Linked DNA regions of Mytilus edulis. The protein of the gene in region 2 purifies or fractionates together with the protein of the main gene of each other region. This does not show direct contact. Links are inferred from orthologs where the notes say so. Each region holds a gene or a part of one and is shown on either strand. Other genes may lie near its edges.

Region 1 (3,761 bases), on a different chromosome or scaffold from region 2:
AACAGTTGGTGGACTACTTTAATTGTCACACCTCAGTGTTTACTGTTGACTGGATAGTGAAACAGTTGGTGGACTACACATTCCCACCAAAAGCCCGTTCGCGCCCAATTTTAAATTGCTTTGATGTAAATACTGCATGTATTAACATGATTAAAGGCTTGGTATGATTAAAAAATTGAAGATTTTAAATGAAAAACACGAAAGATATAAATTGTTATTACTTGAAAAAAAAACAGAATCTCACTTTATCTGTTTATTTTAAAGCAATGATATAAAGTTATAGCAATACACTAACCAAAACATGATAAAGAGTTATTCAACACAACAACAAAAAAAAACGTTGACAGAATCTCACTTTATTTAGAAACTGATTTTTTATTTAAACAATACATTACACAATCCAAAACATGATTTAGATTTATTCAACACACAAAAAATGATGAGACATAAAGATTTATTCAACATAAAAACAAAGTTTTGAGACAATGACAAAAAATTATACTTGGAATACAGTGGAGTCCCCGGTGTCCGCGCGGCCGGTGATACCGCGCATTTGCTGATATAGTTATATCAACACCGTAACACAAATGAAATTGTTCTTGTTATTGTTTTAGCATTCCGAAGGGAGAAAAAAGAATAAAATAGATAAGTTCCAGATAGAAATAATAACTGCAATCCCGTGATTTACAATATTTGGCCAATGGCCATTAAAAGAAATTCAGCATCAGATAAAATTTGTTATACTTAACCCTTTCGCCGATGAGTCCCGGTTTACCGGGATTTACGCTTCAGACAGCTGACGATGAGTCCCGTTTTACCGGGATCAGAATACATCTTTTATATTTCCCGCTCAAAACAGTGCAAACATGAGTTATCTTTCTTTCATGAATACCCGGATGAAAGTGTAAACATGTCGCTTCCGTTTGTTGAAAACCTTGTCAAAATCGAAGGAAATTTACGGAATTTACGAGAATTTGAAATGAGGGAACATTTTTTTTGAAAGAATATGGAAGAATTGAAGCCAAACTAGTATACTTTTTTGACATAAAATGTCGTTTTATGTACAAAACACTTGGAATGGACATCGTTCAGTGTGAGGAATTTGTACAGTCTCATAAATTTTTACAAAATTTTGCCGTTTTGAGTTAAAAAATTACGATTTGGGGTCAAAGAGCAGAATTTTGAGAATTTCACATAAATAATGCCGAAAATTTGAAAATTTGAATATTTTATGATAAAAAAATTATCAAAACATAAACAAAACTGTGAACATTGTGTTAGTGAATGAAATAAATACACAAATAACTACAAACAAGTTTTTATTGACATTTATTATGAAGATCTCCCACTTGAGTAAAAGTAGCCAGGGAAGCTATCGTCTCAGAGTAGCTTCTGTCTGGGCAGCAATCGGTGAAAGGGTTAAGTCAATTTTTTATCAAATTGAAATAATTTTTGCTCTGCATCATTGGCAGTGTGCTTGGTTTGAATTTAGCTACCTTTTGTAGCAGCAAATCTTTCCTCTATTCAAAATAAGCTATTTTTGGAAGGCATGCGCGAAATCACCGGACATTGGAGGAACTCTCAGAAATGGGTTTCCCCAATTTTGGAAACCCATTACACAAAATCTTGAGGGTGAAACCCTACAAACTGATAAGTTTATGAAATAAAAGTATGTTATGAATGTATTCACACAATATTATCCAATTATTGGTTTTATCAGTTAAATGAAGTGAAGACATAAGTCTTAGGTGCGCGGATACACCGGACTGCACCGTACATATGTAAAGGAATACACTTGGCAAAACTTAATTACAAAGTCATTAAACACAAAACCAATGAAAATAACTGGGCGCAAACGTGTAGAGTGCTAACGGACTCTGGGTGCAAAAGTGTAGGGTGCGAAAGTGATAGGGTGCGAACAAGACTGAGCGTGAACGTGAATGGGAGCGAACAGACAGGGATTTGTGTGTCAGTCTCATCTCATAGCATATAAAATCCAAATTGGCCATACATGTTGTACAAAATAAGACAGCCTTTTTCAATGAACATCATGAATCCATTATTATTGCTATAATTAAATAATTGCTGGTATAAGTGAACATTTTAGATAGAACAGCTTTAAATTATGGAATATGCACCCTTTCTTTCATTCTCCAAGTCTGGGTAACTTTCTTTGACCCTTCAATTTTTTCCCAGTGACGAAGTTCGTTAAAGGCAACGAGAACATTCCAGTCGGACAGCTCATCATCTTCATCAATCAAAGGCGTCAGTTCAAAATCACTTGACATTTTGAATAAAGAGGTTTACAAATATGTTATTTGCAATTATCTCAAACTGTCAATGTGATGGAAAAGAATAAATTTGACAGAGTAAGGTGTCATGCTTTTTTCATCGGCCATGTTTACTTTTTTACATTCGTAGTCTCTAATTTAGTATGATATAACAGCTTTATTCCATCACATTCGATTTTCGTTATATTGTAAAATATTTTTATATTTTAAATAGATTTTGATATATTACATTTCGAAATCGAAAAGTTAAAGATTGTTAAAGACTATTTGTGGTCGATATCGAAAGTGAAAGTACAAGTTGTAAAGGCGGGAATTATGAGTAAAAAAATCGAATCAACGACAACTCGTCCTTCTTGAAATCGTCCCACAACAAATCGACTTATAGTTCGTAAAAAAACCCACTCCATTCTTCTTTACCAACTCGTCCTACTTAGAAAAAAAATAACGACCACAATAATCACACGAATTTAGGACAGAAAGTCACAGGACAAAAGGTCACAGACAAAAAGTCAAGGACAAAAAGTCGCAGGACAAAAAGTCACAATTCATTTTTTCTGATTATTTTCTTTGAATAACAAACGATTATTTTTACAAAAATATTTTTGTATTTTTCTTGAACTTTTGTACATAAACCAACTTTGTTAACAAATATTTATAAAAAAATATCAAAGATCATAGTGCCAAGAAATCTTTCATTTGCATGATTAAAATTAAATAAATCCTAATTTTTCAAGCATAATGACACATTTCCTACACTAAAAATGAATATATGTATTTTTGTCCTACCAAATTTGTGACTTTTTGTCCTGTGACTTTCTGTCCGTTTAACTAATCACAATACAGTGCCACCTTTCTGGGACGTACGTGAGCATATGGCCTCAGCCCCTATGGATGAGGGTATGGATGGGGGGGTCTGTTATTCTGTAAACATTTAATTTTCACCCCATTTTTCTCTAATCTTTAAAAAATTAACCCCTTTTTTCTCTAATCTTCCAAAAATTAACCCTTTTATTCTCTAATCTTCTATTTTTTGGCTCATTATTCTCTAATCTTTATTTTTTAAGGGCATTATTCTTTAATCATTTAACCCCATCCAAACCCTCATGGATTTTACTAACCCTCTATGGATCCGTAGGGGGTCAGTACTGTAACAAACCATATAACTTATAATAGTTGACACAGTAAATGTGGGCGAGTTGATAAAAAAGGGGGGTTTTGCCAGTGTGTTGATTTCCAGTACAGGATTGTTCCTCTTCACCAGACTCGATTTCTCCCCTGAACTAATATAATAAAATCAGTGTAATAAATCTCTTCATTCATCCAATATTGTTTGTGACGTCACTATAGTCGTTTTTAACCGAGACATTGATGGAGGAGGCTTTGATTTGTTGGTATATATATATATATATTGACACTGACAGTTTGTTTCCTATAGTTTTGGCTATTTTTAGAGACAAAGAGAGTTTTATG
Region 2 (3,761 bases):
GAACTTTTTTTTGGTCACTTTTTTTAATTCCCGCATTTGCGCATAACGCAGAAATCTACTTCCTTCTTCCGGTCTTGGTGTCATGCAACTATTGAGTAGTCTAGAAAATATATAGAAACTCAAGGAATACAACATCAATTTCATTTTTAATAATTCTTTTGTCTTTGATATGAATAAACCTGATGATCGCGTTTCTTTGTTTACATTGAACATGTCGTCATAACTTAAATAACGTCACAAGTAAATCCTTAACAACAGAACCAAAATCGGTATTTCCATTTTGAAATTAAAATATGTTGGAATTTAAAAAAAATAATTCATACAGACTTCGTCTCCTTTCACAGGTAATGCCTACCTCATATTACCACAATTGCTGATCTGATTTTTTCAAAATATTTTGAGGTGTATTTTGATGTGTCTATCAAGAACCAAAAATTCAATTACAAAATACAGTCAAGGGTCCAACTTAAATAAGTTATCAGAGAAAAATAACATGCATGTGTTATTACAGAAACTTTCATGACTTGTCTACTCTTTTTTCCTTAATCTGTAATAACTCTTTTTTCCTTAATCTGTAATAACATGTTTGTTATCAGTTAAATATATTTTATCTTTAATGGGCACTTGAGAATTCTTAAAACTTTGCGCAGTAGCTTAATATATTACCTTGATAACTAATTTTCTAATTCCATTTATACAATTTTGATCAACCATGGTAAATCAATGAGACAAGGCCGTTAAGGGCAAACTAAGCTGTAATAACAAGGCTTAGTTATTACAAGCATGTAACTTACTATATGAGAGTAAATGAGACACTTGGAATCTTGCGCAGTGCCTCATTAAAAGCTCTGATCATCATATTTACAATGAATTGAAATACATTGTTATGAATGTCAGAGCAAAGCCTCTAAAGAGATATAGAGAAGCTGTAATAACACCCTTTGGAATATATTTTCTGTAATAACATACATGTAGGTGTACTATGTATGATTAGTAAACTATGAGCTGGTATATCTTTGCAAAGATAAGTATACATAAAGAAAATTATATTAATAGAACTTGAGAAAAATTTTACAAAATCAAGGTTGTATATTTTCCCTTTAAAACAGGTAACATACATATATGTCATCACAGTTTTTGATAATTTAGCCCACAATAACAACATGCATGTTATTTTCTCTAATAACTTATTTAAGTTAGACCCTTGACTGATATACATGTATGTCAAAGAAAGTAGATGATTTATGTTTGCACTAAACTTAACATAAAATTTTAAACAAAAGCATAAACAAATGAATGACCATATGATATGGTAATTTTTTAAAATAATGTCTTACTTCTTTCAAGTTTTTTTAAAAAATGTAACTCTAATATTAATGACAATTATATATTTTAATATCAAAATCCTGTAGTTTTCATATGTTGAACATGCCATTAGAAAAAAATGACTTGAATTGAACTATTTAAAGTTTCAATATAAAAAATAAATGGAGATGGAAAAAAACAGGTGCTTTGAATCTGCTGAATCTTTCATTTAAGATGTGAGCTCATACAATGTTTATTGATAGACGTCATTTTTGGGTATGTCACAAACATCCATCTGTAGTATTTTCTGGCACAGGAAATGCAACCATATAAAAGTAGTGGCAGGAAGAGGGTTAATAACTTAATATTGTTAACAAGTTATCCTTTCATGGAAATTTCTCAAATAGTATGAGCTTACCAATCTAGCAGTTTCTGCCTTCTCTTCTTCAGCTCCTTGGCTGAAAATCTGTATAGGGTTCAATGCTAATGACGACATCTGCAATAAAGGTTTTCTTTCATAATAAAGTAAATTCAGTGACATACACATGTGGATGTATAATATATCAAAAATGTATGAGAGGGAGTCTGACTTTTGTCAGGACTCTGGTATCAGGTGTTTATTAGCTCAGGATTTCAGGATTGATCCTTTCGGGATCTGGGAATTCTTTTTTCAAATTTTGGGATGTCAGGATTCAAATTTCTTTAAATTCAGACCTTCAGGATTACATGTTTTTAGACAGGTATTTTGGGATCAGCACCCCTTCGATCCCCCACATCCTCATATGCATAAGCGCCATGATTTAATCATAAAGTAAAAGTATGAAAGCCTTTCAAGACATCATATTTATTTGGACTACAGAAGAGTATGATTTTTAATGTCTCATCAAGTGGTCAATACAGGTTAATTGAAATTTTCTAGGTGGACATTACCTTTACACATCAATGTCTACATGTTCTAAGGACATAAACCCATCACAATGTCAATGATAATATACGGACTTTTTTCTTTGGCATTTTAAATTCAGGTGATATGTTTTAATTGTCTATCATTAGATTATATGTTTGTGTAAACATATGAAATTGTACTAAGCTTTTTCAATGGTCACAATGCATTCTAAATATCCCAAAAACACATATAAACACATGGAGGAGTTGTAAAAAATGTTAATTTCTAATTTATTAAGGTTATGATAATGTATAATTTTGATATATTAATCTATTAGGACTATATCTTTTATCTGAACATGTTAAACTCAATCCACACCGTAAACGATAAAGTATATGCAGTAGTAACTACCTCTGACATAAAAGGGGGGTGTAAACCACATGGTTACCAAAATACCATGTGAAGTAAATAACGATATCGTTTCGTTAATAATTGGAGACTAAAATTATGATTTACGGAGATTTTTGTATGCACTAATATGTCATTTACCTTTTTTGCAGTCTTACTAAAACCTTTCTGGTCTAAAAATTGTGTCAGTAGTGTTTCTTTTCTCTAGAATGTTCCCGTTCAGACGCGTATGTACTGAAACTTTATTGACTAGTAAAGGTACACCAAACTGTAAGGAAAACAGGGCACCAGTTCTAAAAATCTAACAGAGAAAACAAAATGTCGGAAACAAATATAGGAATGTTCCGGCAAATGTTAATATTCGCGCCACGTAATATTTTAATGGTTTAAGATGAAATATAGGAGTTAGATATGGTATATATGATAGGGGCAGGGAAAAAATGGTTGCTTATATAGGGAATCATTGAAGCGTGACTGGAGCGGGCCCCCTCTTAGGTCAGTCAGTGGGCCCCCACTTATGAACATTTCTGGATCCGCCACTGACAATAATGTTACTGATAACTTCAAATATCCTGAAATATGCATAGAAATTATTTCTAAGATATAAAACCCAGAGACATATATACACATGTCTCTCGTAAAACCACAGGCTCAGAACCGTACAGTGAGTCATATTAGTAAAAAAAAAAATCTCTAATATGCTCTATGGGTTGCATAAAATATATCTGTACTATATCGATACTTTTCTGAGTTCAAAACATTTTCAGTCAATATATAAATTTTAATAATTTCCAATACTTCTAAGGTTTTTTTGTAAGTAAAAAGTCCATTAAACTTGAATTTATATGATTTTTTTAATGTCGTACAGAGGCGAACTCATATCCGCATGTCACAATCGACGGGTCCTCCCTACAATCTTAAATATGTATTTTTTTTGGCACGAAAAAAATATTCAGCCCCTAGTATCCAAATCAGTTTCAACATACTATCCACAGGAAAGTTTCATCGTGTGATGCTTATGTACTAACTTATTTAATAAAGGGTAAATGCAACACATATGTGCAAAAATGAATTGAGATGATGTGGAGGGGCAGAGTACTATACACAAGGAGTGAATATACATGTCATTGAGACCATAGCAGGCACATCTTGATTAGGGTTA
Region 3 (3,761 bases), on a different chromosome or scaffold from region 2:
ACTAAGTTTGAAGTCGATTGGACTTCAACTTCATCAAAAACTACCTCGACCAAAAACTTTAACCTGAAGCAGGATAGACGGACGGACGAACGGACAGACGGACGGATGAACAGACGGACACACGCACAGACCAGAAAACATAATGCCCCTCTACTATCGTAGGTGGGGCATAAAAATTAGGAAAGTAGAAAATGGGTTAACAGCAAGGGGACAGACACCTAACAGCAAACCAACTAATGAAATGACATGTAAAGGACAATTTTGCAGCAGTTTGGGAATAAAAATTGTAGCCAGTAGGTACACAATATACTAAATTTGAGGACAGTGATTGAAGAAATGTAAACTAAATAATAGATCAACTATTGATTTTGTGGTGTTTCTCTCAACTGACACGCTTGTTTTTTTCTTGATTATTTATTATTGTCTTGATGTACAATTAAAGCGTCCCTTCTATTTACCAGTTTGACTACAAATAATGTTGACCTTTCATCTATAAATAAGACAAAAACTGAATTTATTTTCCGAATTTCCATAGATAGCCAGGGGCAATCTGATATCCACGAAGTCTGAAATTCTCGCTTCCTTTTTTTTTCCTCCGTTTGCATTTAAGTTTTTCTACTCGACTCATGATTCTATTTGTCTTGCTTGCCCAGCTTTTTATTAAGTATTTGTCAATCTGAATCTCGATACAAAATTTAAAGAAATATCACTTCTGGTAAATGATGGATCAAACTTAATCGACGATCCCGGGTCAATGGACAAAGCCAATGCAATGTTATGCGACTCGGGTTCGCATACTTATTTTTACTTATTTTTACTTATTTTGGTAATCGATCTATTTCCGGTATCATGTAATATTTATCGTCATGAACATTGATGTTTTTACTTGCTGATTATTGGTTTCTTTTACATAAATTAAACATCTTTATACGTTTTGAAATTAATTCTATGTCTTTTTTTTGTTATTTGACTTTTGTCTTTTTTTACTTGTCCACGGGCAACCAAGACAAAAATAATTACTTGTCCAGTTGTTCAAATGTACGAGTCGGGCGAGTCAGGCATAGCGTTTCCACACCCCTGCTTTGTTTACATTGCATATGACGTCATTACTGAAATAAACGTCACAACTAAAATCCCTTACAACATTGTACAAATGAACAAAAATCAAACGTTACAGTATTTCCGTTTTGAAATAAAATATGTTTGAAAAAAAAAAAAAAAAATCATTCAGACTTCGTCTCCCATACCTGCCAACTTTTGAAAATGGCCATGGGGGTTTTTGTGCGCGGCACCATTTTTGAGGGTAGAATTTTTCGCGGCATTTTTTCGTGTGATGATTTGGCTCCTAAAAGTGTCTGACATACTTCTTTTTTTTTTGGGGGGGGGGGGGGGGGGATAGTTGAAGATGCTATTATAACCTATCTTTTTTTAAATTGTTTGATTGTTGTATTCTTTTTGTTGAGATAAACACCAGTAAGATGACTTTATGTTTGTCTGATACATTGTCAAGAAATAAAAAAAAAAGTAATAATTTTAATAATTTAATAACAAAAAAAACAACAATATATGAGGGTCTGGAAATGGGGGGTGGGGGGGGGGAGTGTCTGTTGTTCTGTAAACATTTAGTTTTCACCCCTTTTTTCTCTAATCTTCAAAAAATTAACCTCTTTCTTTTCTAATCTTCAAAAAAATTTGACCACGTATTTCTCCAATTTTCATTTTTTTTTGCCCGTTATTCCCTTATCTTCATTTTTTAAGGGCATTATATTCTTTAATCATTTAACCCCATCCAAACCCTCATATATTATATAGATCAATATCACAAGCAGTACTAGAATGTTTGAAGACATCATTAAGGCCACCGTAGTCAACTTTAAAGTCTCTGTTGCAAACTTTACAAAAGGCATGTGACAATCCTAACGTTGATTTAGACAACCAGCCCCTGTACTTGACATCATTCTCCCATTTCTCTTAGTATTTGCACGAAGCAACACGCTTTTTTTTCTTAGGCGGTGACAGAACTATTTTGCAAGTGATAACTCGCCCATCATGATTCCAATTTTTATAAATTTAACACCCAAGCTAAAAAAAACAACTCAAAATTTCGATTCTTTGATTGTTTACTATGCCGACATTAATCAACTGGTGAATGTGTGATCACTTAATTTTGAACAATGATAGTTACCACGAGTACATTGAAAATTCCTGACTGTAAAATATAACTTTTTTTATTATTGTAACATTTTGATGTCACCATAGCCAGTGCCAATTAATTAAAGTAAAGGTTAATTTGTAAAAATCACATGCATGTTTTAACAAAGTCTTTTCAAATGTAAACAATGAAACATTCGTAAAAACCAACGTTATTTGATGCAACATAGATATATAATTACCGATGAACTGTTAATCGATGATATATGTAGAACAAAATCAAATTAGAATGTAAAGAAATGATTCATTTTGCCTGATTTATGACATATTTTGATGTTTAAAACACTAGACAGGAAATTTCTTGGTCAATAAAAATAGGATTACGATTATCGTAAATTCCGTTTTGAAGTGTTGATGAATAAATAAATGAAATTTCTTCTGAATTAATTTGATGAATGAACAAACATTGTTTAAAGATTAAATGAATATCTTTTGATAATAAATTTTGATTAAAAATTATTTAATTTACGACAATAATCGTAAATCGATTTTCGATCGACGTTCATGAAATGCTTGTAAATGTAACAATAAATGATCATAGTCATAAGCGTTTAAAAGATATTTGTATGTTTTATTTTGTGCGAGCAAAAACATTCAGCGGGAAATGCCCCAAATAAATTAATGAACGAAAATGACAGAATTAGAAGGATCAGAATCCATGGACAAGCCCGTAAACGTACCTGAGGCTCTATTCAAGGACGTCAAATACTATGTCGTTGGCGATATTGCAAAAGAGGTCCAAAATTATTCAATATTTACTAAAATTATCGCTTTCGGGTCGATCCGGCCCCACGTCGATCCGGCCCAAGTCGATCCGTCCCACGTCGATCCGGCCCCACGTCGATCCGGCCCATATGTAAAGTCGATCCGGCCCCAATAAAAAAAATATTTCTAAGGAATAAAAATAAATATATATTAATTGTAATTCATAAATGTTTATTATTATTATTATAATGTTAAAGGTGTACGGTAAACAAATTAAAAAAGGCCTTTGAAAAATATTTTCCTTAGATGAGTATAAAACAACTAGGTTGATTATGTCTTTATTACAAGTTTTCAAGATTATTGGCTATAATTATATTAAAACATATATAAAAGAATTTAGACATCAACATTAATCAGCAGTAATTAGCATTTTCTTATAATTGTGATCCTAACAAGTTTCATCTTGTGTAACATGTAATAACAAATAGTTACATACATGAACGGTACAAGCCGATCCCCAAGCTGATACATATTAACTTTGTTTTTCTTAAGTTCATAAATTTTTTCAAATTAGGAAATGTTGTTTGATTTGCCGAATCGTTTCTATAAAAGAGTGCTGATATTATATTACGGAACATTAATAAATCAGCATTGGATTGAATTAAGTGATTACGAGTGGCATTACCTTAGTTCACAATCATCAGACAACTGTTGAATAAACAAACCAATTATAGACTAATGATTCGATTAAATATTAAAGTCATAATGATGCGTTAAATTTTATAGGTCCATTGGACGGAAAATATTTATTTAGCTATTCTGTGTGTGAACTGAATAAAAAAAAA

The links.
Region 1: the proteins of T-complex protein 1 subunit beta-like (region 2) and regulatory-associated protein of mTOR-like purify together in Homo sapiens (affinity purification with mass spectrometry; 3 studies listed by BioGRID and IntAct, with this or other methods). This does not show direct contact. The link is inferred for Mytilus edulis from reciprocal best matches to the Homo sapiens genes CCT2 and RPTOR.
Region 3: the proteins of T-complex protein 1 subunit beta-like (region 2) and DDB1- and CUL4-associated factor 7 purify together in Homo sapiens (affinity purification with mass spectrometry; 4 studies listed by BioGRID and IntAct, counting the BioPlex papers as one, with this or other methods). This does not show direct contact. The link is inferred for Mytilus edulis from reciprocal best matches to the Homo sapiens genes CCT2 and DCAF7.

What each region holds. Positions count from the first base shown.
Region 1 is NC_092352.1:4,900,269-4,904,029, forward strand, and holds the start of regulatory-associated protein of mTOR-like, read right to left. Parts: upstream 2,437-3,761; 5' UTR 2,289-2,436; coding exon 2,139-2,288; intron 1-2,138. UniProt on the Homo sapiens protein: Component of the mechanistic target of rapamycin complex 1 (mTORC1), an evolutionarily conserved central nutrient sensor that stimulates anabolic reactions and macromolecule biosynthesis to promote cellular biomass generation and growth.
Region 2 is NC_092353.1:27,030,528-27,034,288, forward strand, and holds the start of T-complex protein 1 subunit beta-like, read right to left. Parts: upstream 2,915-3,761; 5' UTR 2,741-2,914; intron 1,802-2,740; coding exon 1,724-1,801; intron 1-1,723. UniProt on the Homo sapiens protein: Component of the chaperonin-containing T-complex (TRiC), a molecular chaperone complex that assists the folding of actin, tubulin and other proteins upon ATP hydrolysis.
Region 3 is NC_092350.1:66,547,477-66,551,237, forward strand, and holds the start of DDB1- and CUL4-associated factor 7, read right to left. Parts: upstream 2,545-3,761; 5' UTR 2,394-2,544; intron 1-2,393. Other genes in the region: PAX-interacting protein 1-like, read left to right, coding at 2,843-2,947. UniProt on the Homo sapiens protein: Involved in craniofacial development. Acts upstream of the EDN1 pathway and is required for formation of the upper jaw equivalent, the palatoquadrate. The activity required for EDN1 pathway function differs between the first and second arches.